Kluyveromyces lactis: one gene and its partners. The protein of the gene in region 4 interacts with the protein of the main gene of each other region in a pairwise test. Links are inferred from orthologs where the notes say so. Each region holds a gene or a part of one and is shown on either strand. Other genes may lie near its edges.

Region 1 (8,831 bases), about 1.0 Mb from region 4:
TCCCAAGCTCTTTGAAACAATGTCAATTATCTTTCAAAGCTTCGATGCCGGTACTTTATCAACTACTAGAACTTCGACGTACTCTTAATGGTCTACTTGACGCACTAGGGACTCTGTCAAATTCAGCTTAAGAACTTTATAATTGCTATGGGAATGATCTTATATCAGAGTTAATACAAAAGAAAACTATCTGTACAATTGCTAATTTGGAAAGAACAGTTTACTGGAAACGAAAATAACGTTGGATGGCGCCAATTGAAAGACGTACAATGAGTGTATATCTGTACACATGCAGATTGGGGATTAATTATTAATAAATGAACGACGAAGGGTTAATCTGTATCAAAAAGAGAGCTGATTTCAGTAAATGCAATAACGAGTGAAAGATGGGTATATTTTCTTGAGAACAATTGTGAAAGTGAATGGAATGGCCCTGGCCACGGGTGAAGATCATAGAATAGATTTATAGTAAATGTTTGAATTTCTAGCGTAGGAAAACTCACTAGAGCTTTCATCCAATGACGATCCAGCATCACTAGGCTGTAGATAGCATAATAAAACATCATCAACTGACCTTCTGGTTCTTGGAGAGTCTAAGTATTCTGATGGCCTTAAAATTGGTGTCAGAATTGGATCAGAGTTTCTTTTCAATGAGTGCTTTGGTGTAATTGATTTTTTTGGTACTGATTTCAAGTCATCCAAAAGCATAGTCTCTAAAAGATCCGCAGAATTTACTGGTGTTTCCCATTGGAATTTGTCTATTTTCTTGTCTCCCGTTTCAGGTGTTGATACCTGGAGGATTGATTGTTCTTCTAGCAAAGTTGGGAACTGATAGTTTTTTAGGAAATCGACATCTACTTCACTGGCATCTGATTGAGAATATTTATGCTTCAAATGTGTCTTCTCTAGGGTAGTTAATTTTGAAATGGAACGCATATGCGAATCGTTTAGCAAGGAGGTAGCCATTGTTGAAGTTGATGTCACTCTTTGGTTCGAGTACGTACTGGATCCAACCGAAGAACGTTTTGTAGATGACCCTCTAGAAACCAGATGGTGTTTAGCATATGGAATTGCATCTGTTACGAAAGCTTTAGTCATTTGCGTTGGGGAATTGATTGTTGAGTTTGTCGGAAATTTGGTATTTTCCGGTATATCCTGTAAGTGACTGTTAGATGGTGGTGGTGAATCTGCAGTAGGCATTTCAAATCCTGCCTTAGAATCTGCATGTGAGATGTGATTAAATCCAAATGGGACAGAAATTTTTAACTTAGGAGGTTCTTCTTTACTTGATTTATTTTGAAACAGTTTTAAGAGGCTGTTCTTCTTCTTCTTGAAAGATTTCTTTCCAGATTGTTTATCATACGCATTTGGCGGCAATGGAGGAAGATTAATGTTTTTCCTATTACTTAAGACAGGTTTATCACTATTGATCATTACAACGCCCAATTCATCATCATCGTCAGAATCCAGAAGCTGGTGAGCTTGTAAACCATATAATTTTTCTGTTTCATCGTCTTCATCGAGCCAGATCGACTTGATCTGAGGTACGTTCATCATAAGTATTGGCCCAGATCTGTTGGTTGTTTTATTCGGCAATGCCTGGTTTCTGATGATTCAAATCATGGCCTTTGTACCCTGGATCATGTTTATCCGTTTATATATACATATATCGGCCGCGTCCACAGTGGTAATGTTTCATGCATTCCTAGGTTTCACAATTTTCTGACATTTTTCGCATCTATGGTTAACTACTACTGGATTCAGTTAATTTAGGAATTCCTATATTAGGTAAAAACACGATTTTTCATTTTCGCACCCTCTTCAGGAATGCAGATACGTTTCGTTGATCGAAAATTAATGTTTTCTAACCTCTCTAATTCACCATCGCCAATCCGGTTTTTTCTTTTTTCTTGGGTTTCATGTCTTCTTTTTTTCTTTTGGCGGCCGTTATTTTTTCTCAAGTTTCTACGGCTTTTTTTCGTGGGTTAGATAAGTCATTAGTTGACCCAACATGGTTACCAATTACGACTATTTCACATTTTTACTCCATAGACTTTCTAGACTCTTAGAACTGGCGGTTCTAGGTTCCTCGGACTCTTTGGAAAAGCTTGGTTGGGGTGTGTATTCATCGGAAATGCTCAAACTATTGAAAGAAATTTCAATGAACTCAGAAAAGTCTTTCACTATCGCATTATTCTCGGAGTCATCTGCTGAAATCGATGTCGGGGTGAGATTTACGCTCAATTTTCGTCTGTTGGTTGAATCCATTCTCGGTATCACTGGCCTAGTACCTGCTCTATAATCTCTCTCCATTGCAAAATTCATATATTTGATTTTATCCAATTCTTGGTTCGATAACGGTTCTGTAACAAAAGCCCTAGAGCGCTTGGAAAGGAATGTACTATTATTCGTTCTTGCAATATCAGGTGTCGTTGGACGACCAGCCAATAAGTTTTTAATGTCATCGCATTCGCTCAAGGACTTCTCTATACGTTGTTCCCAATTTTCTTTCCGTTTATCCTTCAAACTGCTTCTTTTAAGAATGGAAGAGCGTCTCCATTTTCGTAAGTAACTCTTCACCTCGCCCATTTTAACTTTGTGTGGCACTTGTTTTCCCAAGTTACTGCCTTACGTACTGTCTGTGTTTTTTATATAATAGACCGTTTCTATGTAAGGCGGTTTATGATTCGAAGAAGAAAATCGTAAAGTCTCCAAGCTGGATACTTTTATACTCTTTTCAATAGCCGCTGAGCTTTTGATCGGATTTACACCATGTATGTGTTGCGGGTAACAGTAACCTGCTCTTTTTACAGATATTAGAATGAAAAATAACTTTGGGTTTAGAACTTGATAGTAAGTTTGACTTTGGAAACTAAACGTAAAATTGGACATGTTAAAGATGAACTCAAAGTGGATTGAAATCACCGATATCATTACTCTTACCCATAATTTCCTAAATTTACCTTGTATCCATCTTTTGCTTAATGCTTATTGTACTATTTTCCTTATATAAATATAAAATCTATTATATATCGTATTATCGGTACTATTGAATGCTTCGAGAGATTCAACAGTAGAAGTGCAGTATGAAAATTAAGTTCATGGTAATTCAGCTTTTTGTTCTTTTCGAGTCATCACTTTCCAGTGTATCTGGGTTTTTCCTTTTGACTATTTTGAACGATGAATTCTGTGTAAAATCTTCATTGACTACATCTTCGTTACCAATACAAATGACTTGCTTATAGCTCTTATTTCTTAATCTACCATTTAGAAGTACCAAACTAGCAAGCTCGCCCATGGATTTACGAGATTTGTCATTCGGAAGCCCAATAAAGTTCAAAATGCTTGTAACTCCAATGACATTACGACATTCTAGTGGGCTGGTTGCTCCACTACTGACCACGATTCCTCTGTTCCTGCAAGTTCTGATCACACTCTTCACGTTAGATACGAACTGCCTACGTGTTCTGATATCTCGAAGAGCGTTAGCATAAACAATTTCTACTTTGACTCCTCTCTTAATGCAACCCCCCATCATGTGATGTTTCAAAAGTGTAGGAAGCCTTTTGTCGTAGTAAAATGATAGCACATCAACATCCAAGCTAGACGTTACGAGAGTAACAGCCTTTTCACTGACTGGAAGGGCTGCCACAATATCGAAAGCTTGCGATATCTTTGTCAACGGCTGGCCTTTTGAAAGGTCATCTATAATAATTGTGATTCTTGTATATAGCTTTAATCCCGTAGATTTCACTAGTTCATCAAAATGCGATAGATCGATAGGATTCATATCATTGATTGATTTTGGGAATTTATCCTGTTGGTTTACTGTGAAATTTAAAGCTATGTGAGTGTACCCTAGTGTATGCAATGTCGCTAGAGTCTTGTGCAGCGTTTTAATCTCCTTCGTGGAAGGCGGTGTTGCAAAATCCTTCTGTGGCCAAGGAACGTTTAAATCAACTAACATCCTTTCAAATAGCTATTTTGCTTTGCAAATTTGGAAGGAGTATTTACAAGTGATTCAACAGAAACTTTTGTTTCCATTTGAGTGTCCAGCATACCTCATCTCATGCTCATGTTTCATTATTTACTAGATTTTTTTTTTGGTAGATTATTGTAATGTCTTTTCCGAAAAAATTATACTTGAAGATATTATAACATACTATGAAGTACAATCCTTACTTGAAAGCCCAACTGTTGAAAAATACAACTTTAAACTTCATCCAATCGGCCATGTCACAATGTTTTTGAGTATGAGAACAATATTATCTAAATAGAATAATTGTCAGTTTATTTATAGAGTACATACCTTACTATTTGTTCCATAAAGTGATAAAATGTCCGTTAAAATAGGTTTGATGAAAAACAGCGCCCAAAAAGGAACCATTATGATCTATGTGCATAAATATCATTGCGTAGAGTTCACATCTTCTGAATCTTTCGGTAAAGAAGGTAAGTGCTGATCTTGATTTACAGCTACCGCCCCAGTAGCATGGTTTGTATTTTCTTCAGTTCTATTTCCAGCCAGTTCCGGAACTGGGGTTTCTGACTGTTGTTGGACATGCTCAGTGTGTAATTCCTTTGTTCCCTTGTCTGCGGGAACATCATTCGTAACATAAGGCTGTTCTAGAGGGCCTTCACTGTTTTCTTTGTATGGAATAGAACTTGATTTCTTGTTTGAATTTTTGCTACCATCTTCTAGGAAATCAAGAACCAAAATATTATCGATTTCTCTATTAATATTCATGACATCGACGCCATTTTTACCAACAAGCGGTAGTTCAGTGCCTCTGGCGAACATCCATTCTCTCCAATGAGTATTCGTATTATCACATAAATCAAAAAGAATCATTTTTAAAAGGGTAATGTGGTTGTAAAACCATGAAACCGACCTATTGATGAAGACTCTGTAATTTTCCATTTCTTTGATTGCATGCAACAATGTATAATTGTGGAAACCTCTCTTATCTTTCGACTTGTCTCTCCAAAACTCAAATAATGCAAATAAGGCTTTCCGTCTTTGCCAAGTTCTCTTAGATTCTCTTAGCTTTAGACCTAAACTTACCAATCTATTCTCCCAACGGAATTCCATCAGGAAATATTCTAATGAATTGACGTATCTCTCGGTTAATATGACATTGGACAAAACTTGACAAGCCATTGAGGTTTCAATCTCAACGTCTGGTTTAAGGAAATACGCGTTGATTCTATCCTGTCTTGTTAACTCGGCGTAATCTTCTTCATGCATTGTTAATTTAATCAATTCGTCTTCTTTGTGTCTGAACTTCAAATCCAAATACTCTCCCGCTGTGATTGGAATTGTAGAACCTTTTCTATAAAAAAAACCTTCACGGCAGTAAAGTTCCACAGGGGATGACATTAACAAAGACGCTGCATTTTCTTGGGATTGATTGTTAGAGCTTGGTCTTCCCCTTTTATCTTTCTTTTCTGGTAACATCGGAATCATCCTGCTCATCTTTCGACGATCATGCAATGTTAGATGCCTTTTCTTATTTGGTGATTCACCACCAGATTGTAAAGTGGTGACGGAAAAGTTATCCTGCGAGTTTTCTGTCGAATCAACAGATAATTGAGAACTTGGTAATGCGTCTGCAGATCCTTGAGGAGTCGAATTTGGCATGTCTAACAGATGAGGTCTAGCCGAGCCATTCTCTTCTGTTTTTACACCAGTAGATGCATCATCATTCAAGATAGACAAGATTCTGACCTTACGTGGTCCCTCTGCTTCGTTGGACATTTGAGATCGATCACCGATGTCCGAAGATGTTCTTTTCACAGAGCCGTTCAGATCCTTGTGCTCAGAATTCAGTAACGACGATTTTTGACCGTTAACATCATCCGCACTTGCCGTAGAAACTGAGCCTACATTGCCTGGTTGTTCCAAATTGTTATATGCTGATATAATTGTTTGTGGTGTCACAGAGCGAGCAGAGTCTGGAGGATTAGACGAAGGTGATTGAGCACCAGAAGAATTCTCCGCTGTTTGCGACAGGGAGAAAGGTACTTTTGATAACTCTTCCAAATGTTTACTTGAAAGTTGATATTTACCCAACGGTACTGGAACGCTGAAAGGCACCGCTGTCATTCTTTTCTTCCGTTCTTCTTGTTTCATGGCCATGAAAAGATCTTTGTTGAGTTCCATGAAATTCCTGGTAACGTTACGATCGCTATATTTCATGGTGACTAGCATCCTTTCTCTTTCATCTCTTTTCATTTCGAGCTCCTTCTGTTTTCTGGAACGAGAGTCATGCATATCATTAGCCAACTGTTTCTGATCGTCTGTGACATCGCCCTCATCATCTTGCCCTTCATTATCAGACATACCGGAAAACGATGATGAAAGATCCGATTGTTCATCATATTGGCGCGAACCACTTTTCAATCTTTGAGATTTGCGTCTAGAGCTAGAGCTTTGCCTTTCCTTGGTATCATTATCTGCAGCATTTGTCTTTCTTTGTGAAGAAGTGAGTTGAGCTTCCCATGTGCTTTTCTTTGAAGGTCTACCTCTACGTTTCTTTGGTTCCTGAGGAGTCTCTTGCTTGACGTTAGCAGAACTACGAGATCGACTGTTGCCAACCCCATCTGCATCATAACCTGAGTTGGACTCCGTCTTTTCTTTACTTGGGTCCAGGAAAAGACGTTTTGATTTTGATATATGATCGCTTGGGAATGGCAATTTCGCCTTTTTATCGCCATTGGACAATATCGAAGTGTTCTTCTTAGGTGGTCTACCAGGTCCCCTATGAGGAGGAGAGACGCTTGCAGATGACATATATGCGGGTGATCCATACGCAGCAGTTCCCATCGTCCCTGACGATGCACCTGATGTCGCGGACATCGTTAACCTATCGGATAACAACCTGTTGATCTTGATGATCTCCACGGATAGATCGTTTATGGCCGCATCTGAATTCACCTGGTTCTTTAAAAGGTCCTCGAATTTCGTTTCCAAAACTTGCTGGTTATGCGATAAGTTCTTCAAAGTCACCACAACTGACTCAATACTCTTTTGAATTATTTCGTCAGTTTCAGGTAAAATAGACTCAATTTCAGAAACTTTTTTCTCAAGCTCTCGAATTGTACCTCGTTGACTTTCTAAACCCGCTTGCACACTAGAAATACCATTCTTGTCCTTTTTATCTACTACAGAACTATCCTTCTCTTGTCTGGAAACACCATTCTCACCAATTCCAATTTCACCATTATTATCGTCATGGCCTGTCATCGCAGTATCAGAATCCATACTGTCTCTGATTCAGCAAGCAGGTTTCGTCTGTTCTGACTCAAAACCTATAACAACAGATTCAATCCGATCTACACCCGTTAAATAGTCACTAGTACCCTGTAAAGCACCACTGTCGTTCTGTTTCTCGACAATAACGATGTTTAACTATTTATTGAATTTCAATTTCGCTTTTTTTTTTCTTTCACTTTTCCAATTTTCGTCGTTTTCACCTTAGTGCAAATGGAAAAAAACAATCAATAATAATCAAGTAGAAAAAAAACTCAGAAAATGCTGCCAAAAAAAAAAATTACTGTAAGGAAAAGATGGCGGAATACTGAATGTGTTAAAGTTGAATTTGATTTCTTTTGATGTGCGAGCAATGGTTATCAATATGATGAGCGGACTTTTGTATCGTTTACGAGATTCTCGAGATATGGATGATCTTTGCGGCAATTTTTGGATAATCTTAAATATATAAACATACATGTTCAGGTATATAAACCTAATATATTGCAAGTGAAAGTCGCAAAATAATGTCGTACCTTATTTTGCTGCTGTTAAAGTGGGTTTTTCAATTGAAATTTACACTCCAAATGGTAACTGTCCGGGGTAATAAATGTAAAAAAGAAAAAGAATTTATTGTCAAATAAAGATGTCAAAATACTGAGAGCGCAAGAAAGGGAAAGTGATCAGCTCATGAAGGTTTATTTTTACACTATATGATATATATGATACACATTTTCTTAATGTCTATATATTTCTCGACGTGTTCAATTTCAATCTCAATTTCACAAGTTGCTGTATGGTTTTGTTGACTTTAGCGTCAGATTCTGGTAGTGAGAATTTTTTGCACAACGTCACGATGTAGCCGTTAATAAAATCAATTTCTGTTTCTCTTAAATGTAGGACGTCCTGTCTCATTGAAGATGAGTTACTTCCATTCACTATACATCCCATATAAATGGTATTTTTCAGTGTTCTTTCTAAATTCAATCTGCCAGTGACGTCTAGTTCTGGTAGATTCCCACTTTCAGTATTTCTGAAGGTCTCTGGATAATCGAATAACGGTTTATATGCGATTTGGAATACATGAAGAGCCTCTTCGATGATCGAAGTGAAGATTGGTTCTGAACAATTGGCTAATTCTCCATTCATGCAGTCTATAATTGAAGTGACAGAGTTGATACAGCAATTGACTAGGAACTTCTCTAATTGTCCCAACAAAAGTTCCTGGTACGTCATATGGATGACAGCCAACGATTGGTCCAATGTTAGCAAAGCTTTAACCAGATCATTTTGCTTCCATTCATTCAATTGGTCTAACGTTTCTATAATATTTTCATCATTTTCGGGTAATTTCGAGACCTTGCAATCAACAAACCCTGCATGATTGTACTGATTCTTAATCTCTTTATCTTGGAAAATACCATGGCCAATGACACCTTGGAACAAATTTGATTGTAAGTCGCTTCCTGTGAAGACTTGTTCCTTCAACACTTCAGCGACACCGAGTCCGTTTTGAATCATGATGATGTTAGTGTCGTTGTGAAGGTACGGCAGAAACATTTTCAATGCCTCAGCCGTT
Region 2 (8,645 bases), on a different chromosome or scaffold from region 4:
CGCCTTGGTTCTCGAATCCAACTCATAAGGAATGGAATCACCTTGCAATACAGAATTGACTAGATACATTGCCAATGCAAATTCTGGGAAGAGAAGCACACCAGCCTTATTAGTATCTGAGAGAGTCCAAATTTTGGCCAATTGATGAGGCTGTAAGCCAGATTTGACCAAGATATTTCTGCACTGGTCACCAGTTATAGTGTTGGAACCAGGAGTGACAACCGATCTAAACAACTTCTCAAATTTGGCCTGATCCTGAGTGGTAATGAAAGACAATCTAATGGCAGGAATCTTCAAAGTGTTGTCAACACCAGTATTCGCGAAGGAATTGATGAAACCGGTGGCGGTTGGCTTCAAAGGTTCCAAAGGCTGCTGCTGAGAATAGAAGCCAGTCTGTTGAGGCTGTAACGGACCTGTTGGTGCATTGACAGCAGTAGTGCTCATCCCTTGATTGAAAGACGTGTTCATTGGCATTTGTTGTTGAGGCTGACCAAAGGATGTTTGCGGCATCATAGAATTGAATCCCGTCAATTGTTGGGTCAGTGGCATTTGTTGTTGCTGATTACCGAATGGTTGTTGCATGCCTTGTTGTGGTTGTGATTGTGGTTGTTGTTGCTGTGGCTGTTGTGGCTGCGCCTGTGTTTGTTGACTGAAACCTGTAGGCTGTTGATTCAAAGCGCCAGCGTTGCTAAAGGTTTGAAATCCACTGAATTGCTGCTGCTGGCCCTGAGTAGGGACCTGTTGTTGATAAAAATTCCCATAACCAGTTGACTGAGGTTGGGCATTGAATTGCTGTTGCCCACCAAATTGCTGCGGCTGCTGGGGCTGCTGCTGGTACTGGTTGTACATAGCAATTAGTAAATGGTTGGTTGACCCTTGAACTCGCTGAGCAATACTGCGATTCGCACCTCCTAAATCAAGATCAAAGTTGTCTTTAAACCCTTTGAATGGGGAATCATTTCAACCAAGAATTTCGTCAAAGTCTCCTATTCGATGATCACAAAATACGAAGAATATCGAAGCGTCAGTGTCAGTGGACGGATACTACAAGAACACTCGAGTCCGAGAGTGATACTGCGTCTATAAAGCAGATTACACCTCGGGGAAACTTCGTGAGCTATCTTCGCATGATTCTGGAGCAAGTTGTGCGGGTATAGGGTACATAATACGGCTGATGTCACTTTAGACATCTGTTTAAAAGTTTAAGTTAAACTACGTAAGTACAGGATGGTGACAGAGGAAGTGTTTTAATGAATACCTCTACTACACCATGACAGTTACACTATGATCAAAATATCAAAAGGCCAGGGGGGTTGGTAAGAACAGGAAAAAAAAAGATCAAGTTAATGGCGTTGGAGATGAAGACACTACTATATTTCCATGTTATCATCAAGTTTGACGTTTGAATTCCAGATATCCGAAACAGATTGTAAACGTGAAATAGTATCGGTATCGAATTTGACTATGGTTCCTACGTTTTCTTTTGCTGTGGCACAATAAGTGTACTGATGACACTCCTTGATTTTTTCCCAGGGATATTGCCCAACATTCGGCGTGATATAACCACTGATAGATAATGAAGAATCATACATTTGCTGTAAGGCAACAGGGTTGCCGTATTTCTCTTGGAAATAGTCAGGGTCGTGGTCGAAATCAGCCACGGCACAGTCTTGTACCTTACACTTCTTCAACCCACCGTTGGACCATAGTAAAGTACCTTCTGTGCTGACGTGAGCCATTTGGGTGCCACATATTTCAAAAGTATCATCAGGCTTGTTTTTAACGGTACCCATGATGGAACCTTCAGTTGGGTATATAGAATATTTCTCTCCGGCGAGCAATTGGCCAAGCCAAAATATTTCTTTATCGCCGTAAACGCATCTTTGAAGCTTACCATCGATATTCATCATAGTTGAGATGAGTAGACTAGATAATTTTTTAACTCGATCAACTACAACTAATCCACTATCTATGTGATGTAGTTGTAAGTTATGGAAGAACTTATAGTATATCTGCTCTTCCATAGATAGAGTATCGATATTGATATTATCATTCTCCACAAGTTCGAGGGGGAAAGTAGATCTATGGCTCATGAAATGGGTTTCTTCTACAGACGGGAAAAGCTTCTTTAATGTATCTGTACAATAAATAAAAGTTTTCTCGCCTATAATATTTCTGTCTCTGAATAACAGCATGCCAGTGTCCTGATAACCTTTGAAATCAAAATAGGATTCAAGACTGGCAAATGACACAGAGTCCGCATCCAGTAGAATACATTCAGAAAAGGTATTGAACAATAATGCCATCCATTTATTTATGAAATAATGGACGTATTGACCAACGAATGAAGCATCGATTAACGGTTCAATATTGACAAAATAAACCTGCTGTGATAATTTTTTTGCGTTTAAGAATGAATGAATGTCGTAAATGAAGGCTTCAGTAAGCTCAGATCCGTTGTGAATAACTTGTATTGGAAGTGTATTATTTAAATTCTCCAAAGTGAGAAGTAACTTCTTGAACTGGTCACCGTGCCTCAGCCCCAATGTCAGTACAATTCCCTTCCCCTCTGCAAAATTATTCCAATTATAGAAGAATGAATAATTATCATCCATTTTCCAGGTGTCTTTACCTTCTAACAATGGGTTACTAAAAGAAGGAATCAACGTCCAAGGATTGACATGTATCATTTTAGGCCACAAATGTCTGAATGGTGTCTTCTTTGAGAGGAAAGGGAATAATCTCGATTCAAGATCGTTTGGCTTCACGACTGATCTCTTGAACACCTTGGATGTGGATAAACCTCCACTGATGAAACAAGAATCATACATCCTTATCCGTTCTAACATAAGCTCTGCCAAGGGGTCATCCAAATTATTGTCGTTATGGAAGTCTTTAATATGATCATTATTCCATGTTGGGTTTATTTCCAATGTTGATTCGAAATAAAAACGGCATTTCTGCTCTAGGGGTAGCGTTGGCCAGTCCAAACCAATCTTATGATACTTATTAGTAGCATGTAGAGCCAACGAAAGCCATTTTCCGAGGTTAAGCGAGCTTGCGAGTCTATAAAATGGAGAGTAAATTAGTGCTCTTTTACCTTCAAAATGTGGAACAGTTGAATTTGGTACTGCTCCGCTTGGTAATAGAAAAGATATAAACAGCAACGTAGTTACAATCCCAAGCACCTTGATGCTAAATATCCTTCTCCAACGAAATTTCATCGCTTCAGGGCCACAAGCATAGTCTCTCGGATTTCTTTCTTGTTTTGAGTGCAGATAGAGTCTCAGCCTCATCGGACAATTTGATTTACTTTGTTTATTCATTACATATTTTAGATTATTTGGCTTGTTAACTGACATTGAATAAACAAAAGATAAAAAAAAACATCACAGACCCCTATCATCGATATAATAGGACCCGAATGTGTATCGTTACAGTATATCAACAAATAACTGCCTTATGCCTTTTCTTTTTTGATATATATATGCTTTATTTATCATTATGCGTATATGCCATGAATGTTCGGCGATTTGATGAATAATTTAAGTTTAGCTTTTAAGGACAGCCCCAACTGGGACATCTCCTCCATGACATGAAATAATGTGCGCTCATTCATACTCTAAATTTTTTTTTGAGGTTGTTAAGCTATTCATGTCTTTAGTTTATGCAAGTTTTGGTAAAAGTCCTTTACCTTTTCATTAACCTTAATTTTATGAGGATCAAAGTTTGTTATTTGTAGTCTATCCTTCGAGACAGCTCTTGATAATGCCACATAAACTTGACCTGATTCAAAGGTCCGTTTCAGGTCTACTTTTAGTCTATCGATAGTTTGACCCTGGGATTTGTGGATGGAAATTGCCCAACATAGCATTAAAGGTAATTGTTTCCTGACAGCAGAATCCTTCTCAGTTTCTCCGACAGAGAATTCTTCTGGTTCAACTAGTTTAATTTGGTATCCTCTGATGTCTTGTTTGTCTATGAATTTCACAACAGGGAACATGATTGTCGATAGAATACCGGGCCCATTTACGATTTTACTTGCTTTATCCAATACGAAGTTAAGAACTTCTTGCCTGTTTGTTGGTCTAAGATTGATATCCCGTTGTAAGTCCGAAGATCTACCAGATGGTGGCACACCAATGGCTCTGCAAACGCATCTCATATCTTGTACAACTTCCGGATCGCTTAGATCAGGGAATATCTTGGATGCTTCCAAGAACAATGCCGAAGTACAGAAAAAGAGGACTCTTCCTAAGGAACCATTGACTAAGGTATCATCGATGTTTTTCAACATCATTACTTGGGCATCCTCCTTCAGTTTGATTTCTTTTTCTGCCATAACGTTGTTAAGAATATTAGAATTGATATTAGGAGGGATAAAATCTACTGCCTTGTAAAGGATTTCATAACCTGGCAACCTCTCTAACCTACGTTTATTGGACAGTTCCACTTCACGTCTCGTTGGGTAAAGTTCGGTTGGTTCAATGCCATCGTCGTATTCCACTGGTGCTTCAAATTTTTTAATTAGTTTAATGGTGTCGCCAGATGTGTTACCCATTCTAATACCGTTCAAAAGATCAATCAATTCATTATCAGTCTGCCTGAACACCTGTTGTAATAGTATGGTTTTGTGGATAGCATATTTCCATACGTTACTCTCAAAGCAAAAGATTGGACCAGCCTTATTTGAATCTCTATCTGGAACAGGTGGAAGCTGGAAAAAATCACCTGTGAAGACCAACTGAATACCACCAAAAGGTTTAGTTCTATTCAATAAACCTCTTCCAATTGCATCCAGTTTATCAAGGAAGTAGCCATCAATCATTGAAATTTCATCCACAATCAAAACTTTAGTTCTCTTCCATCTGTTAAGACTAGTCTTGTTTCTTTTGACCATATTGATAAGTCTATTAGCATCACCTTGGCCAATACCTACACCAGAGAATTTGTTAATTGTAATACCTCCAATATTAACCGCCGCAAGACCTGTGGAAGCAGTGACCGCTACAGCATCTTTCCCATATTTTGCATTAAGCGTCGAGATCATGGTTCTCAATATAACGGACTTACCTGTACCTGCGCTACCTGTATAGAACACATTCAATCTATCTTTGCACACATATTCTATTACTTTCCTCTGCTCTGCAGTTAGTTCAATTCTTCCGTTAATGCTGCTAGATTTGGAGCTCTTGGAACTGGTATGAGAAACGATGGATTGTCTTGGAATCGGCTTTACGCGCTTTACTGAGGAAAGAGATAACGCATTTGAAGATGAAGAACTTTGTGAACCATCTGATACATCAGAATACGTTCTCTTGACTCCTGATAATGTTCTTTCCAGCTTAGGTTTTTGCCAACTAGATTCAGTTGCAGTTGCAGTTGCAGTTGCAGTTGCAGTTGTGGAAGAAAAGTAACCCGATACTGTTGAAGTTTGGGACGAAAAGGAACTACCGGACTGACATTGAAACTGTGACGATGATAGGAACGTTTGAGATGATGGCTTAAAGTTTTTCACTGGTTTCTTTTCTCGTAGCAGACTGTAGAAATCATCATTTGATTCTTCTTCAAACGACCCTTGGGAATGCAAAGACGAAAGCACAGACTGTGTTCTCAATGCTTTCACTGGAGGAGAAACAGTTTTTTCAGTGAAGTGTGAATTAAAACTTGAAGATGATTCTAATGCGGGCTTATTCTTCACTTTGAAGAACATATTCAAGGTGCTCTGTCCATCTTTCTTCTTATTCTTCTTATTAGCATTAAGCTTATTCAGCATTTTATCCAATTAAAAACTGGTAAAAAGGCTACCGCAGCTCGTCCTATTGATTCAAGCAGGTATAAACTAGGTATGGACCAGAGATAGAGCGCTAATAGGGTATTTTTCCTGCTTCATCGATGGATCATGTATCAGTTTCTTACGTGTTTCTCGGTGATTTTGGTTTGTTGACATTTTGGAAATGCGTGTATTATCCGGGTAACAGTTGCTATTATTTGCCAAGCACTGATGCCGTGCTTACAAGGGCCCATCAGCATTGTTTACTGACCCCCATCTGAGATCTATTCCACCAAGTGATGGTACGGAACCCAAATGCTTTTTATTGGTGCTAATAGGGTCAAAGCTCCTCGTAAAACATCAGATCACGTGACTAGCTCGTTTCGCCCATACGAAAAAGAAAAAAAATCAACAAAACTCATCTCACTTAAGAAACGAAACTTAGAGAACAACAAACAACAAACAGTAAACGAGGGGGGCGAGACAAATACCAAAAACAGTCGTTATCAGCGCATCAGAACCAGTCCAGTAGTCATTGATTATAGTTATTGTACGGGTTTGCGTTCTATTTCTTTTCTATTTCATTGATTCTAATAAGTGAATTACAGAGTAAGTTCAGTCTCAAACCTTCTCATCGGTTTGTTTGATTTATTAGATTGCTGTAAGTCATAGAAAATAGCGAGTTATTTCTTTGTCATTTGAACATCGCACATCTACGCACACAGTATCAAGCATAGCTTTACTGTAAGAAATCTCGAGTTTGCATCGAAAGTTAAGCCTACAAATTTATTCACTATCGAAATGTTGAAGTGGATTCAAGGTGGTATTAGTGCCGTCACAGGGATTGCTGAGCCAGAATATGGCCAAGAGTACATTCATCCATGTACTGAAAGAGTTAAGGGTAAGCAGCCATTCCATGTTACTAGTACGAAGGATTTCGAGTGGAGGAATCCAGACTACACGAACGTTGAGACATCAACTTTTTACTTTACTGATCTGGAAACTGGATACACTGGGTTCGCTCAAGTGATCCATTCCAACATCATTGGATTGCATACTACTGCTCAGTTTACTTTCAGGATTTACCACAAGGAAAATACAGATGATCAAATTTGGACATCGGTGAAGTTAGAGAATTTCAGAATAGAGGGAACTAATTTCTACGCTGACAATCTATCTATTGTAATGAACGAAGAAGGTACCGAAGTGCAATTCAAGTCTACCGTGGACGAAAACGTCGAAGTGGATTTCACCATCCGTAGAGCAGTTGACGGTGTCAAAGTCGGTGAAGATCCATCCACTTACTACGGTGACGATGTTACTCAACCTTGGGGTAGTATGAGACATGTTTTCTGGCCAAGAAACCACATATCTGGTAAGATTGCTGCTAAGAATGAGGAAACTAATGTCAAGATCGATTTACAGTTTTCAGAAGAAAAGAAACATTATTCCATGTTCGTTTTCGCTATGCAAGGTATGAAACCACATCATGCTGCCAAATCTTGGACCTTTTTAAACTTCCAATCAGAGGACTACACTGCCGTGCTTATGGAATTCACCACGCCTAAATCATACGCCAACACTACGGTAAATATCGGGATTGTATGTGACACCAAGAACATTTTATCCGTGACAGTAGATAACGATGCTGAATATATCGACCCTGAAGTCGATTCTGTCGGATGGCCTGTACCAAAGGAAATCTCTGTCTCCTTTAACGGTATCAATGCCGACATCAAAGACGATGACGTTGAATCTGCTGATCCATTCAACACTATCGTCAAGGGTAAATTGGATAACCTGGTGGAAAGAGTCGACGTCATGGCTGAGATTCCAACTTTTGTCAAGAACATCGTTTCTGGTGTCGCTGGTACCAAACCGTATATCTACCAGTTTTTCGACGACTTCGAATTAACTATTAAAGACCAGGAATCGAAAGGTTTCGGGTGGTGCGAAATTACTTTCATTTCAGAATCATCTGAAGTGGAAGAATCTGCATACGATGAAAACTAGAACCTTACTCATAAAAAGTGCTTCCCTTCATCAATTTTTAACGTTTTAATATATCACTCTTATTTTTCTATTCTTTTCTTTCTCATCCTTTATTATTAGATACCAACACACGTTGATTAACCCCAACGTCTCTCCTCCAGCACTGTTCTACCTACTACTTTGATAAAGAGATAATACTAACACCGATAATAATTATAATAATAACAATAATCATATCACTAATATTTGCAAACCACTATTACTTTTCCCCCCAAATTCTTTTCGACAGTATTCCGTGAGCGCGTGCATGTACTATAGAAATACCGTATTTACTCACCTAGTTAGTTAGTTTTAAAGTAATATATTTCCCTCTTTTTTCGCTCACTTTAGTGGAATAGCTTTGTTTGCTTGAAATACCCGATTGACTTAATTAATCCGAATATGCGTGAATATATGCCGCAACGTACAATAGCGAAACTGGAGTCCCGTTTTTTGAGGCCTCTCTGTCTGGAGTTTTCATCTCGAGATCAATCTGGAGTTCCTCGTCTGGAGTTCTTCGTCTGGAGGTCCCCTTCTCGAGGTCCCCTTCTCGAGGTCCCCTTCTCGAGGTCCCCTTCTCGAGGTCCCCATCTGGAGTCTTACCATCTGGAGTTCCACTTTTAGTGCACTGGAAAAGGGCCAAAAAGGCCTCACCTTATGTGAGGGAAAAAAGGACCGGAAAAGTGCACAAGTCACGTGCGCACGAGGTTTGTATCAATAGATAGCACATTCATTAAACGGTATCTCGGCCATTAGTCTCAGCGAAGCTGGTAATTGCTACAAGGAGGAATAAGCCGAGAATAGAGTTCTACGCAAAAGTACAACCGGAGAAACTTGTCCC
Region 3 (7,808 bases), on a different chromosome or scaffold from region 4:
GAACTGGACTTCTGGGATCTAAAACTAATGTTTCATCGCTCATCCTCACCAGAAACTTGATGAAAACACACAAAGGTGCCGCAAAAAGATGGAGAAAAACAGCCAATAGCTTCAAGAGGGGCAAGGCTGGAAGAAATCATGGTAATGCTGGATGGAGTAGGAACTCCCTTAAATCATTATCTGGCAGGTCATTAGCAGACTCCACACATATGCATCGTTTAAAGAGATTGCTTCCATACCATTAAGAGATGAAAGGCAATTAAAATAAGATATCGTTTCGATTTCAATCCTGTACATATAACAATGGCATCCCCATAATGAATGACACACCATTTCTTACCATGATTTTCAGTAAAGCATGTCATGAAAAATCAGCGGGTTACTATAATGGATAATTATCATTAATAAATACCTATATACAATTTGCAAACAACGGTAAAAAATGATTAATCATATATATAGTCAAATTAAGTCTCCGAGATATCATTCTCGATCCAACTACCTGTTTTTGGATTCTTTCTTAATTCTACCGTTGGGAAGTAGTGATAGTTTGTCTTTAAGGAAATGGCAAACGGAACATCGTCAAATGTCATTAAGCGTAACTTGCAGTATGTATTATCTGGGATTTCTTTAACAACCTTCAAGAATGTATCCAAATCAGGTGTTGATTGGTCATTGACGTGTGTGATAAAGTTGGTCACTTCTATTCCGTACTGTAACGCCAAAGAAGATGTACCACGAGAAACCGCATATACTTCACTAGGAATAGACGTTTTTACTTGACGCACGGCATGATGAGGAGCTTGTAGTACGCAACCTGCGAATACGACAATTCTAGTGGTTTCTTCAATTTGTACAGTTTTTATTTTCAAATCGATAACCTTCGCATCTCTTACAACCTTGAATAACAACTCAGATTCGATATCCGTATCGTCATCAGTCCCCACGACACCACCAATATCCCTCATTCTTTTTACCAGTTTCCCATTAACTGATAAGATAATATCACCAGGCTCGAGCCTTTCCTTTATTGTTGTATAGGAGTTTCTGGTGACACTGATGAATTGTAATCTGTTTTCTGATTCTTCTTCCATCATCTTAATCCATTCTTCAGGAACACCTCTGATTCTAGCCTGCAATAATGAGATGGAATCAAATCCTGCGTCCACAATAGAAACCTTAGGATTCTTACCAGCCCTGAGAATATCTACAACTTCTTTGATATCCACTACGTCTAAACCCATTAAATACAGTTTTTCCTTGTTACCCATGCAGGATAACCAGATTGCTCTCACTGTACCATCATCTGCCGCTAATATTCCTGATTTACATTTGGTGCTTATATTCGAATCAATGGAGATGACTTCTAGATTGGTTGCTCTATACCTAGGAATGATGTCGTTAGGAACACTCAGAGAAGAGATGCCATTGACTTTAGTCTTGGAACTGATTAAAGTGTTTGAGTACATGTAACCAATGAAATTAGTTTCGTCTCCTCTTTCAAGCCTTTCATTAGCTAGCACTGGTGTGCATACTGGGGCGTCAACTAAAGATGGATCATATTGAACAATAGCGTAATTTTGGGTAGGATGTAAGAATACAACTTTAGCAGGTACAAGAATGGATTCAGCGAACGAGACAAACGTGTTCAAACAGTCATGAGGAACAAAACTACGTGAAACAATAACATATCCCTTCTCAGCATCGAGTACTAAACCACATCCGTTTGTGGGTTCGGGTTCCATGGAGTCCATGGTGATAGCAATAACCGAATGTACAACACATAGACTATGTGACATTTTTGCAAGTTTTTTATTATCATTAATCGGTAGATCTAAAATCTTAGCTTTCTGTGGTTTTATTGGAAGTGGTGGTAATTTCTCAGTGATCTTTTCATAATCCCAAATACCTGTTTTGTCATTTCTAGTATAGATTCGGAACTCACTGCACCAATGACGGTCAATATAAACACTGGTTATTCTTTGTGTTTGAACATCTGTCAAGTTATGGAATTTCACGATTACTCTTTTTTCGTCAGGAATTGTTTTCATGACTTCTATAAAGTCGTCTAGAGTTGGTGTTTCTTTATTATCTACAAAATCAATAACCCATCCAGTTTTCTCCTTTGGATCCAAATCGAACGATCCAGTGGCACTTGCCACGAAAACGCCTTTTACAGGTAACGCATAGCATCTAGCCATTTGGTACGAAAGCTCATGGAAATTAGCACCACACACCTCGACATAACGTGAAGGAGTAATAATATGCAGGTCACCAACAGTGCATCTGAAGGAAATATCTTTGGAACCCCTTTGAACCACAATGATTATCTCATCTCCTACACTGCTATCTAGAATGTTATCAACTTGAATAAATGAACATATTGGTGTGCCATTAATAGAAATTAATGTGTCACCCTCTTGAACTTTATTATAAGCTGGTCCCTCTCTGAGAATAGCCTCAGCCACCAGCAAACCAGTTTTACCCGGGAACCTCTTACGAGCTTCCTTCTCACGATCTTCACTTAATCCAAGTCTTCTACATTCATCGAATGGTTTCAATACCCACTGAGTTTGGATAGTACCTCTGGTGATTGGTTTATCCGTTTGTACGCATTGTAGAGCTCTGACGACTCGATCAAGAGGCAAAAAGAAATCTGTAGAAGCCTCCGAAGAGCCACCGGCCTGTAAAGCGACCGCATACCCCTCTACAGTAATAACTGGAGAACCAGAAGAACCACCTGATGCAGCAGCAGCAGCTTGAATATATTCAGTATTAAAATCATTATACGTTAGCTCACCATAGTCTGGTGCATTTCTGTCAAGTCTACTGATGAACCCTGACAAGATACTCAATTTTTCACCAGCATCGTTACCAACAACACGGATTTCAGAACCAACCTTGGCCAAAGATGGTTTCAACTCTAGTGCAGTGACCTCGATATATTTCAACTTCGATGGATCAAACTTCAAGAACCCAAAATCATGAACTGGGTCGCGATAGATAGGGATGACATCACACTCTTCGTGATTGTCGAAAATGGCGTATCCGATGAATGGACCTGGACCCACAACGTGTCTGTTTGTTAAGATGATACCGAGTTTTGCATCAACAATGAAACCTGTTGCTTCCGACACCAAGGCAGCTTCTGAATCGAAAGGTGCGACTTGCGAGAAATGAATTGAGACCACCGACTTAACAACTTTGGAGATAGTTTCTTGCCATTTAGCGTTGTTATTGAATAAAGAGTTGCCTGAATCTATAGGTACATCGTTCACTTCATCATAGTCTTCTTCATAATCAATATCTTCGTCTACACTACTTGTGTTCTGATCGACGTCATTGTCGACCCTCTGTTTCTTGGATTCAAGATCAATGTCTTCAACAGATGATTCGAGTAGGTTTCGCTTCAACTCAACAGTCATTTCACCAGTTACTCGGTACGTACTTCGCAGTTGATTATTCGAAGAGTAATCCGATCTCCAGAGTTCTGACAGACGGTAATGTCTCTCTTCAATTCATCTCATCTGCGCTCTCTATGTTTAGTTATCTTCTTTTTTTTCATCTTGCCGTTCCCTTCGGTAAACGTCAACGTGAAAAATTCATTAGAAAGGTAATGAAAACGTATTGAATGATAAATGCGAAGATGGGGACGGTGAGAAGAAAGGTATCGGAGGAAACCATTCATGTGCCATCTCTTAGACTGAGGTCGACCATAATTCTTCGTTTCCAGTTTGAGTATTGCTCTTCTGATACGACTTCATATTCGTCTTGTAACATGCTGCCTATTCTGACGGCGATAGCGTTATCGAAATCCGATCCATCGTAATAATCGAACTTGACACGGAGTTCTCGGTACCATTTCTCACCGTCTATTAGTTCTTTTGTGATCTTGATAGCTTCCATGATATCTTCATCATTTGTTGTTCTCATTTGTGCCGCCATCTTCTTCATTAGCTTGTTATCGATTGTACTGTCCTGATTTCTCTGTTGGTTGAAGACAACGAACGAGCAAAGAAGTACCAGACCACAAACCAACTGTGTAGGATACGCTAGGTAAGTAGCGTTGTTATTGAATTCGGAAATTATGGTAGCTGTTACTTCTTCAGGAAGTTCAAATTCATTGCACAGAGTCACCAGTTCAGCGGTAGACGGTCTATAGTATTTTTTGTATAGCATGTTCCATTCGTTATACTTACCTCTTTTCTTTCTTGGTGAAGGCGTGTATTTAGAAGGGGAGTCACGAAAGGGTGACTGTCTTAATGGAGATTCAGGATCATCCTCAACTGATCCAAACACTTGTGGTATATTGATCATATCAGTCTTATTCTTCGGGGTTGCTAATATGGGCAACGGAAGGCCATTTTCTGTATCAGCTTCAAACACTAATTTCCTCCGGACACTTGACCTACTCCCTTTGCTAGGTGAAAGATCAACATTCTTCAAGGGCTGGATACCACTTTTAGTTCTTGATTTCGACGGAGTCTGGAATAGCTGTTCTTGTAACGACTTCGGATCTATCCCTGTGAATCTTGCATTTTTAACCGCTGACTTTCTAACCGATGGTGATGCAGTATCATCAAACTTCAGCAATTGTCCTTCGGTATCCTTTTGCGGCGAATGAGGCCATATGTTTCTCTTAAATATATTCACAAGTTTGGATACTTGGTCTGGTGGAAGCGGGATCTTCTCCTGAGAATATGGTAGGTCATTGTCATACTTCTCAGCTAGTTTCTGAAACGCAATCAGTGCACATATATGGCACCGAGCAAGTTCCTCTGAATTCTTCAGCATCACTTTCGATACTGAAACGTTGTATAATGTTGCTGTAGTAGAAGCCACTTTCTTTAACCGTTGGTCTTGCCAGTCAACATTAGAATCATTTTTGACCCCTAATAAATCGGTTACACACGTTCGTACTTGCTGCGTAGACATCTTAAATTATTTCCACGGATTCTTAGCACTCTAAAGTGACTAAAATAGGATCATCTACTCACTTGTTGTATTACACTGGCCCGGAAAAGACATATATCTCATCTCATCTCCATGGACCATTTTTAACATAATATTAAAAACAGTCTTTATGTAGCTTTTTGATCTTTTTCTGATTTTCTCGATTTTCTCCAATATTGAAACAAAATATGGTAAATAATGAAATTGAATATTAATCAAAAGTATCATTATTCGCTTCTCCATCTATAAGTTCAGTTTTGGCAATACTTCTAGTATTTCATCTAGCATAAGTTGCTATTCCAGCGTGTGTGTATATTTTAGTTCTCATGAGTGGGTACTATAATAGACAGTACTCTCATTTTCATGGGAATAATGATCGGTACCAAACCGGACGATATGCATATCAAGAAAATGGGAATAGGTACAAGGGCTTCCAACGGAATGGATCAGGGAACCGAAGATACTCCCGCGAGGGGTTTGGGTCTCAACTTAGGAATAATGAGAACGAATCTCGTCCAATACGGTCGCAGTCGCGTGGTATCAGCGAGATTCCTCGTAATCCCTTCGCAACGCGTCCAGTAGTGAGTGCGAAATACGATCGCGATGAGTTTAATACAAAATATCATTATTACGACATTGTAAGTAAACGACTACGAAATGAATCCAGCTTCAAGAAATGGAAATCTGAGAAGATTCCTGAGCATGGATATGTGACAACAACGGAGTTGATTGCATCGGATAAGCAAAAACCAATACTCATGGCCAGGCAGCCTGAACAAACTTCGGTGGATCCGAGAATACGTCCTATGAATGGGGATGCGGTCTCTGGGTCCATTTCTGCGAAAAAGAGATATAGAAAGCTTAGAAGTGCATTGGTACGCAACTCGCGAATTCCGTATGATTCTTTCTACATTGGTCCTGAACCTCCAAAAGAAATCATAGTATACCCTTCTGCATCTAACCAACAACCAATAGCAGCCGCATTATCTGAAGCAATAATCAAAAACTACTTTAAATCATTTGGTGAAATAGCGCATTTTGAACAGTTCATGGATCCAAATAGTGCATTGCCATTGTACGTCTATCTAATAAAATTCACTGGTCCAGTTTCTCAACCTGATGCTCCATATAAAGCTGCTTATAAGGCATCAGAGAAATTCAAAGACGCACCTTACACAGTATCAGGTATCAAGTTCAATGTCATTTTAAACCAAAATACAGTGTTAAATTCAATAAAGGACAAACTAATCAAACAGAACGCAGCCAGAGTGACAGAAGTGAATAAAGCGAAACGGGCCATTGCAGAGAAATCATCCGGGCAGAAACCTCAAGTAATAAGAGGAGTGCCATACGATTTAACTCAAGTTGTGAACAACAGACCAGTTTTGTTTGTTCCTGCAAAGATTACGTTTTATCATAGGTTCAATGCAGCAGATTTCAGATATCAACTTCGTAAGTACAATTGGGCCAAAATTATTGATCACTACACTGGCGTATATATTGTTTTTCATGATCTGGAAAATGCAAAAGCATGTTTAGAGTACGAATCAGGTGCCTTGGTCATAAATTCGCATAGGACTCACTCTCCCATACAAATAGAATTTACTTTCATTGAACCAAAGAGGAGACTTCAATCAAATATCACTAACCAAAGAGATATCAATAAACCTCGAAAGATAGAGTACTCAAGCACGGAAGAGCTATTAGAAGCCTCCACAAAACAAATTCTCAAAGATTTGCATAATATCATTAAGCGTGATATCTTGAGAAGGCTTGTAGGTCCAATTATATTTGATACGCTAAATCCTGCTAACTACCCGGAAGTTGTAGAAAGGCAGAAGAAACTGGACGATGAGAAGAAGAAGCGTGAGGAATCACAAAAGAAGACAACGATAAAGGCCAAACCCGCAGAATTTGATATTTTCAGTCTATACGGACCTGCGTCTAAAACAAAAAAGCTGAAAAGAGATAGGAAAGCTGATCTAGGCAAACGTCATTTATACACTGAAGAATCTCCTGATCATCAACGTAAAAAGAAACCTAAGGTGGAACATATGTCGCATTTGTTAAATGATGAAATTTCTACCAGAGAAGATACAGTGGATTCACTCAATGTTGGCTCAAACGGTGAAAACTCTCCGGAGTCATCTGGATATGAATCGGAAGATATTATTTCAGATGAGTCGAAGAAACAGTCTTCCGTGATAACAACACCGGAGGAAGACCTGCCCGAAAGCGCTGCATCTTTACCTGATGAAAGGTCCAAGGAATTACTACAGTATGAAGGGAAATACAAACCTATTGCATCAGAATTCCCAACCCCAGTATATCCTTATGATGACTTTGACTTGAATAAATCCAAGCAGCTTTCTCTCGATAAGTTCCAGCTTGCTTTGAAAGACGAAGAAGATTTCTCTATTCTCAAGGGCATTGTCTCAGAAAAATCAAAAGATATTACTACTGATTATACACCATTTTTGCCGTACTCAATGTGGAAGTTATACCAACAGATTGAACAAAATGGAATTATTCGGGATAACCAAATAGCTTTGAATGAAAAAGAATTTGATTCAACGTTAGCTTCAACGACTGGTAGTTTTATTGCTGATGGCTTTAAGAAAATTCCTGATAAACTGAAATCTTCATACCTTCTTCATCATCGGAGGTTGGCGCAACCTTTGAACACTGTTCATAATCATCAAGAACAGAATTTCATGGCTTTGAATGGAACAGAATCAACAAATCAAGAGGCTGACTTAGAGCAAGATAACCATAATGCATCCTCACGTTTGAACAGAGTTTTCCAAAGACGTTTCCAGCAAGATATAGAAGCGCAAAGAGCTGCAATTGGCTTT
Region 4 (8,114 bases):
TCTTGAGGATCTACCATATGCGCTAAAGTTCTGTATTGAAGTTGAAAACAATGGGAACATGGAAGATGTCACAAACTTCGAAGAAATCAAGCAACAAATTACAGCACAGTTAACAGACTTAAAAATAAACAACAAAAGAAATGAGCTTCCTCTTATTTATCATGTTGATGTGGCATCAATGTACCCAAATATTATGACCACCAATAGGTTACAACCAGATAGTATGAAAGATGAAAAGGACTGTGCTAGTTGTGATTTCAATAGACCAGGTAAATCATGTGATCGAAGACTTAAATGGGCTTGGAGAGGTGAATTTTTCCCTGCTAAAATGGATGAATACGGCATGGTAAAACGTGCATTACAGAATGAATTATTTCCCAATAAAAATCCTAAATCTAAGAAACAGTTCTTAACTTTTGAGGAGCTTAGTTACTCTGATCAAGTCAGTCACATTAAAAAGAGATTGACTGATTACTCTAGGAAAGTGTATCACAGAGTAAAAGTTACTGAAACCGTTGAAAGAGAGGCAATCGTATGTCAAAGGGAAAATCCTTTCTATGTCAACACCGTGAGATCCTTCAGAGATAGAAGATATGAGTTCAAAGGGCTAGCTAAGTTATGGAAAGGAAAACTATCTAAAATCAAACCAGATGACGTACATTCGAAGGATGAGGCTAAAAAAATGATTGTCCTGTATGATTCTCTTCAATTAGCGCACAAAGTCATTCTTAACTCATTTTACGGCTATGTGATGAGAAAGGGTTCGCGATGGTACTCGATGGAAATGGCTGGTATTACATGTTTGACAGGTGCAAACATTATTCAAATGGCCAGATCCGTGGTTGAAAGAATTGGAAGACCGTTAGAATTAGACACCGATGGTATTTGGTGTATCCTTCCTAAGAGTTTTCCGGAAAATTTTGAAATCAAGCTGCGCAACGGCAAGAAACTATTTCTTTCGTATCCTTGTTCGATGCTTAACTATAAAGTTCATCAAAAATACACTAATCATCAATATCAAGACCTCGTCGACCCTATGAAGTTCAAATACCAAACAAAAAGTGATAATTCCATTTTCTTTGAAGTCGATGGACCATATAAAGCAATGATACTGCCAACTTCCAAAGAAGAAGGTAAAGGTATCAAGAAGAGATATGCTGTGTTCAACGAAGATGGTTCATTGGCTGAACTAAAAGGTTTCGAACTAAAAAGAAGAGGTGAACTACAATTAATCAAAAATTTCCAGAGTGATATTTTCAAGTTATTCCTGGAAGGAACAACCTTAGAGTCATGTTACGCTGCAGTAGCAACAGTTGCTAATAGATGGCTTGATGTATTAGATTCTAAGGGTGCAATGCTCGAAACTGAAGATCTTATTGAACTGATTTGTGAGAATAAAAGTATGTCAAAAACATTAAAGGAGTATCAGGGACAAAAGTCAACTTCCATTACCACCGCAAGAAGGCTCGGTGAATTTTTGGGGGAAGCAATGGTTAAAGACGCAGGCTTACAGTGTAAGTTTATTATCAGTTCCAAACCACATAATGCACCGGTGACAGAAAGGGCTATTCCTGTTGCTATATTTTCTTCCGATCTTCATGTTAAGCGCACATTTTTAAGGAGATGGTTATTGGACTCAAGTCTCAATGACTTTGATCCAAGGGCTATTATCGATTGGGACTATTATAGAGAAAGATTGGCTTCTGTTGTTCAAAAAATTATCACAATACCGGCAGCATTACAAAACATTAAAAACCCTGTACCCCGTGTTGAACATCCTGATTGGTTAAGAAAGAAAATTGCTGTTAGTGAAGATAAATTCAAACAGACTTCCTTGAATCGTTTCTTCAAATCTACCAAAGCTCCACCTGAAGTCAAAGATATAGAAGACTCTTTTGATGAACATTCCGCGAATAAATCACGTATCGCTAAGGTCACGTACAAGAGAAAGAGCAAAAGACGTAATGGGGATACAGCACTAGAAGAAGAGTCTTTGCTGCTACCCTCTGAAATGCCTCCGATGTTAGATGATTATGTGGGCTGGTTACAATATCAAAAAACCAAATGGAAGATCCAGCATATTGATCGAAAGAAAAGAGAAAAGCTATTTGGTAAAACTTCACGAGCATCTGATCGGTCTGCTTTGGGCAATTTGATAAGAAAGCACGTTGAATCATATGCAGATAAAAGCTGGGAAATTTTACAATGTAAACCGTCCATCGATTTAGGTGTCGTAGAAATTTATGCTTTAATCGATAGGAAAATCCAATTGCTGAAAGTAAACATTCCCAAAACTGTACTCATGAACTTCAAGACGGAGAATTTCCCCTCGGGAGGGATTGAAAACTGTATCGTCGAAAAGTCCAACGCGGAACTGCCTAACGTGAAAGGCATCAACAATGAAAGCAGTAGTCAATTGTTTAAACTGACAATGTCAGAAGATACCTATTTCAACGAAGTTAATAAAGCATCAAGCGTATTGAACAACGAGAATGTTTTGGGAATATACGAGAGCTCAATTTCTTCGAATGAAAGAGTCATAATGCGGCTAGGGACGTGTATTCAATTCAGCTCTGAAAAAATGGGTGCGCTAGGAAAAGGTTTACAGAACGGTTTTCATATGAAGAATTTACATCCTGTTGAAGCAGATAGATATCTCCAAAGGTTTGACCTTGATATTGCCTACCTTCTACATTTTGTAACAGATATCGGCTATGAATTCTATTTCTTGTATAAAGCATGGGAAGATGTGGTAGAAATATTTGTGCTGAAACCAAGCACTCATGCTCAAGAAGTTTCTAATAAAGCTATAGAATCTCTTTACAACGAGATATACGAGAAAAAGTTCGAAAAGCTCGATAAATACTATGACTTAATCAAGATAAACAAGAACGTTTCGTTTAACGTGAATGATTATACTGAACTAAAGCGTTTACTGAAGGACCTTTCAAAGATGCTGCAAAATATTAAGGAAGAAAAAGGATCTCACACAATGGTGATTCTACAATCTCCATATACCCATAGAGTTGCTAAATTGTTGCAGCCTTTGAATGCCTTCCCTGTTGTTGAAATAGCTACTGCTGAAACACATTTGCCAGCTTTGAACTGGCAGGGACAATTAATGAGGAAAGCGGTCAATCACATATTGTCTCTTGGTTCTTGGATCTCAAATTTGATTACTCTCTCAAAATACAGCAACATTCCAATATGTAACCTCAAAGTCGATAATCTCGGATACATTATCGATTTGATGTACGCTCGCCAGTTGAAAAAGAACAACATCGTTCTATGGTGGAATGATAAATCGCCGTTGCCTGACCACGGTGGCGTTGAAAGAGATTTTGACCCACGGAAAGCGGAGCTCATGACTGATTTGGTGTTCCCTATTATGAATAACCCTGATATCTATGATGACGTTATCTTCGAAATTAGTGTCTATAACTCTGTTGTGAACACTGTTTTGAGCAGCACCATGTTGAACGAGGCTGAAGGTACAGACCTTGCCCAAAATTCGACATCTAAGGAAGAATCCTTCGGTTTTGTTGAAGATTCTTTCTCTTCTTCGGCCTTGTCAGTGCTTCGCGCACTGTTGAAAGAGCTTTGGGATGATGCCTTAGGTGATAATATCACGGCTGACTCATTAGTACACGCATTTATAGGATGGGTGTATAACCCTGACGCGAAATTATTCGATTATGCTTTGAGATATCACATCCATACTCTCACTCAAAAGGCCGTGTTACAGTTGATCAATGAATTTAAGCTGGCAGGATCATCTCTCATCTTCGCAGACAGAAACAAACTGTTAATCAAAACTCAGAAGCGTTCCGTTGAGAATTCTTACGCCTATGGGCAGTATCTCATGAAAGCGATCAGATCTAAACCAATGTTTGCCTATCTAGACTTGAAAATTGATAGATATTGGGATGTCCTGATTTGGATGGATAAGTATAATTATGGTGGTAGAGCATGTCTACAGATTGAAGATAAAGAAGTTCAGAGTTTCCAGGCTTATTCTCATTGGCATATAAAGGATTTCTTACCTGCAATTTATCAGCAAGAGTTTGATGATTGGTTAGTAGTCATACTGGATAGTATGGTTAAGACAAAGGAAGCCTATCATGAGCGAAATGCATCCACACAAAGATTAACCCAATTACCAAAGAATACACTGGCTGATAGTGACGTAGATAGTCAAACTGACTCTCTAGGCGGTTTTACCCATAATTTTTCAAAAGCTCTCATCAAAAGAGCAGAGAAACTTTACAAGAACCAACAGGAATATATTCTTGATCCTAACTTCGGCAAGGATTATCTATCTCCCACAATTCCTGGGTCGCATCTAGTTGTGAAAAATCCGCTTCTTGAGTTGGTCAAATACTTATCACATATTTTATCACTTTCCAGTAATCATTTATTAGAAGGAAGGGCGCTAAGGAAAGAACTCCTAAAGACATTTGAAATACGCGAATTCGACAGATTAGCTGAATTCAAGGATCCAAGTACATCTTTTGTGATCCCTAGCTTCATATGTGAGCATTGTTCTTATATATCAGATATTGATATTTGCAGAGAAAGTATGGAACGAGTCTTCATATGCCAGAGCTGCAACAGATCCTTGAATAAAAATCTCATTGAAGAGCATGTGATCGAACGACTTCAAGCCCAAGTTGCATCGTTTATTACCCAAGATGTTAAGTGCAATAAATGTCATAAGATCAAAGAGGATGCAATGTCACCTTATTGTCCATGTTCAGGAAAATGGGAACTTGCCGTATCTAAGGAATCTTTCATGGCACAGTTACAAATTTTCAAGAACTTGGCGGAAAGCTTTGACTTTAGAACATTGAAAGAAACTTTGAATGATTTCTTATAGGTTCAAGTCCCTGGCATCTGTTGTATTATCTTTTAGTCTGCTGATGTGTTTACATTTAACATTTATGAGTGTTTATGTGTTAAAATAGATCTGAAAATAAAAAATATATATACACATAAAGGAAATTGTTCTGAACTTAGCATGGTTGAATTCTTCCCACCTGAATGAAGACGCACTATGTGTTATTTACTGCGAATCAAGTGACCCAGAATGGTACGACCTGATGTTAGATATAGAGAAGAACAACTAGATTTTTTGGAAGCGTTTGTCGATGCCGATCCAAAACTGAGCCCGCCAATCTTGTTCATAGAAGGGCCGCATGGAAGTGGTAAGACACATACCCTCAAGAAGTTTTTTGCTTGCAATGAAGAAATCATGAACATTTTACTACCAGCGAAAGATCTGATATATAGCAAATCCACCTGTCAGCGGTTGGCTACATGTCTGCGTCAATTGCTACTGAAACAATTTCCTAGTGTGGAAACCACTGATCTTGATCCATTTGAAGCCGAGGACGTATATCTTTTGCAGAAATTTATCAATAAATTGTTTATCCGATTTAATCACTTGGTAGAACGCGTTAACCTTTATGTTATACTCGATGGGCTGGATGATAATTCACAGGTGAACTTGGAAACACCTACGCAACTCATGGCATTACCTGGATCTATTCTTCCACAAGCGATGATTCAACTTCGGTTAATAATCTCGTTCTCCAAATCCTCATTCTTGTCCAATTACTCAACGTTCAAGGTTCCCACGATCTTCTTCCCCAAATATAAACCACTGGAGATTGAATATATTGTATCACAAACACCAGGTTTCTCGGATGACCCGCTGTTATTGGAAAAAATGGATGAGATAGGATGCGGAAATACAGAACAATTCAGGAGTGAAATCTTCGAAAAATATATCCATTTCCTGATAGAATCATTAATTGTATATACAGGTTATGACCCCACTGCACTGATAGACATAATGAGAATTAAATGGAGGTGCTTTGTACGATCTTTAAATCAAGAGAACATTAAAAATACAGTACAGTTATACAAATCTAACCTGGAGCTATTCAATAAACCTAACGAAAGACTAATACCACAAACCAGCCGTTCGGATCAAAATTCACTAAGTGGTACCGGGTCTGTTGGTTATTCAAGCCATTCTCTTTGTTTCATGGCAAAATATCTTCTAATAGCCGCATATTTGGCATCATATTTGAATCATCGGTACGACTCTAAAGTCTTCTCCAAGAAGAGTCATCTAAGGGGGGGTAGATCATCTTATGGGAGAAGAAGCAAACCAGCGAATAACCCGAGATACCTTCAACCATCAGGCTTTTCTCTTGAGAGAATGCTGGCAATTTTCCAATCGATATACCCAGTCAGAGTTTCGAAGGAATTGTCTCCAGATTTCTTTCAAAGAGATGTTCATATGAAAGCAAATGTGGAAGTCTACGAAAACGTGTCCGAATTGATTACTTCTCAACTTCTTACCGGTCTGAACATGCACAAATTGGGGTATCTTCACGAAAGACTTAAGTTTAAAGTTAACGTCACTTGGGATTACATATTACTAGTGGCTGGCAGTGTTGATTTTGATATTTCAGAATATTTCAGTGATGTTGTGGAATAAACTCGGCATTTGTAGTAGTTATATGATTGTTGCATGCCGTTCTTTTTTTTTCGATCTCATTTTACTCTATGGAATGCTTCTTCAAATTTAGGTATTTTTTATAGACATTGAAATTGATACGTAGAGAGAAACAACCATAGATTCAGATATTTGACATACCAGCAAGCAGAAAGCAGCAGCTTTCATTGAGTATGAATGTAAATAAGGGATCATCTGATCAAAATGATAGATCTGTAATTACCAAATCTAAGGATAAGCTTCAGGTCAAAAAGACTGACTTCAACGCAGATAGCTATGACGATCACTTCGAGGAATCAGACTACCAGGACATTTCTTGCAGCGACGACAGTAGCGATAATGAAGAAGAAATAGAAGATTTCGTACGAAGAGGTCAAACCGAAACCGATGAAATCTTTGATGGAAATTCCTCAGAGATTTCAGAATCTGACAGCGCTGTTGCTGATGATTCAGTATCAGAAGAAGAAATAAATGGTAGTAACGTACAAATAGAAGCCTTCAACATGGAAGAAGAACTGAAAAATGGGACCGTAGACAAGGTAGGGAATGCTACGGGAAAAACTATAAATGATGATTTTGAAAATGAGGACCAATGGATCCAAGACTTTTCTTCGAAGGAGTCAATTAAAAGGGCAAGAGAAGCTCATGAAAATAGCCAAACTCTACAACGGAAGAAGAGGGCTAGGATGTTATACAGACTAGAAGAAGTTCTCGAACAATTGTACTATTTTGTACCGAGAGGGAAGACAATTCAAGAAGCATTGATTTTGCTTCAACAACTACGGAAAAGTTTACCAAAAGAACATAAGGAACGTACAAAATACATTGCGAACGCAATACAGATCATTCTAACTTTAGTAAATGTGCTGGAACAGAAGGGTATAGACAATCCCATGCAATTGCAGAAAGAAGGAATAAGGGAGTTATATGATGAAGAAAATCTCATGGGATCAACAATTGACGACGTTGAAAGTAAAAACTGGGTCTTCAAATGGTTTGCAGACTTTGAAACGGCTCATGAATCATTTTCAAACTACGAAATGCAAACCTGGAAGGAAAAATACTTCAACAGTAGTGTTGTGGTAAAGAGAAAATGTGACACTGATGAAACTGACCATTGGTATCATGTTGATTGTATTTACTTTATGTAATTAAGCGTACCAGATGACTAACGCCAAAAAAAATTGCCAGATCTGAGTACAACCGCTCTAGGTTACCAATCCGTGGTTTGGTCTTGCATCATAGTTTCATTATTGCTCCCCGAATCGTCTTCCGTGTAACCATGAAGTTTTCCAGCTATCTCTCTTGACAAACTTTCTATCTTTTCTAACGTTAATCTATCAGATGAAGAATCAATTGATGAAATGTTTTTGTGTAAACTCATTAGCACCAACCTAAATTTGTTCCGTATCTTGAATATACTTTTCTCATATATGGCCACATTTTCCTGATTATTATCCATCTGGATTTCTTCAATAAGGTCTTTTATTACCTTCGCATTCTTCTGTAAAGCTGCGTCGTCGAATTTTTGTATCAGCACGTCACTTATCCCATATATGATTCCTAAAAGTTGAAACCTTTGAAACCC

Evidence for each region.
Region 1: the proteins of ORC5 (region 4) and SUM1 interact in a two-hybrid assay, tested with the Saccharomyces cerevisiae proteins (2 studies listed by BioGRID). The link is inferred for Kluyveromyces lactis from reciprocal best matches to the Saccharomyces cerevisiae genes ORC5 and SUM1.
Region 2: the proteins of ORC5 (region 4) and RRM3 interact in a two-hybrid assay, tested with the Saccharomyces cerevisiae proteins (2 studies listed by BioGRID). The link is inferred for Kluyveromyces lactis from reciprocal best matches to the Saccharomyces cerevisiae genes ORC5 and RRM3.
Region 3: the proteins of ORC5 (region 4) and ORC6 interact in binary tests that used the Saccharomyces cerevisiae proteins (3 or more experiments, as listed by UniProt). The link is inferred for Kluyveromyces lactis from reciprocal best matches to the Saccharomyces cerevisiae genes ORC5 and ORC6.

Annotation. Positions count from the first base shown.
Region 1 is NC_006039.1:1,282,584-1,291,414, reverse strand, and holds SUM1 (Sum1p), read right to left. Parts: upstream 7,265-8,831; coding exon 4,409-7,264; downstream 1-4,408. Other genes in the region: VMA22 (Vma22p), read left to right, coding at 1-131; GIC2 (Gic2p), read right to left, coding at 451-1,557; KLLA0_C14740g (uncharacterized protein), read right to left, coding at 2,029-2,589; RNA-binding RNA processing protein RPP1, read right to left, coding at 3,110-3,967; 2-dehydropantoate 2-reductase PAN5, read right to left, coding at 7,997-8,831. UniProt on the Saccharomyces cerevisiae protein: DNA-binding protein that specifically binds the regulatory region of middle sporulation genes (MSE). Required for the repression of middle sporulation genes during vegetative growth. Represses expression via the recruitment of histone deacetylase HST1.
Region 2 is NC_006040.1:1,145,575-1,154,219, reverse strand, and holds RRM3 (DNA helicase), read right to left. Parts: upstream 5,777-8,645; coding exon 3,653-5,776; downstream 1-3,652. Other genes in the region: actin cytoskeleton-regulatory complex protein PAN1, read right to left, coding at 1-849; KLLA0_D13376g (alpha-mannosyltransferase), read right to left, coding at 1,371-3,362; SVF1 (Svf1p), read left to right, coding at 6,575-7,786. UniProt on the Saccharomyces cerevisiae protein: 5' to 3' DNA replicative helicase recruited to paused replisomes to promote fork progression throughout nonhistone protein-DNA complexes, naturally occurring impediments that are encountered in each S phase where replication forks pauses.
Region 3 is NC_006042.1:2,242,982-2,250,789, forward strand, and holds ORC6 (origin recognition complex subunit 6), read right to left. Parts: upstream 4,936-7,808; coding exon 3,685-4,935; downstream 1-3,684. Other genes in the region: MRP35 (mitochondrial 54S ribosomal protein bL35m), read left to right, coding at 1-245; NMA111 (Nma111p), read right to left, coding at 468-3,425; histone methyltransferase SET1, read left to right, coding at 5,280-7,808.
Region 4 is NC_006039.1:230,956-239,069, forward strand, and holds ORC5 (origin recognition complex subunit 5), read left to right. Parts: upstream 1-5,086; coding exon 5,087-6,508; downstream 6,509-8,114. Other genes in the region: POL2 (DNA polymerase epsilon catalytic subunit), read left to right, coding at 1-4,876; U5 snRNP complex subunit LIN1, read left to right, coding at 6,700-7,677; ribosome biosynthesis protein LTO1, read right to left, coding at 7,740-8,114. UniProt on the Saccharomyces cerevisiae protein: Component of the origin recognition complex (ORC) that binds origins of replication. It has a role in both chromosomal replication and mating type transcriptional silencing. Binds to the ARS consensus sequence (ACS) of origins of replication.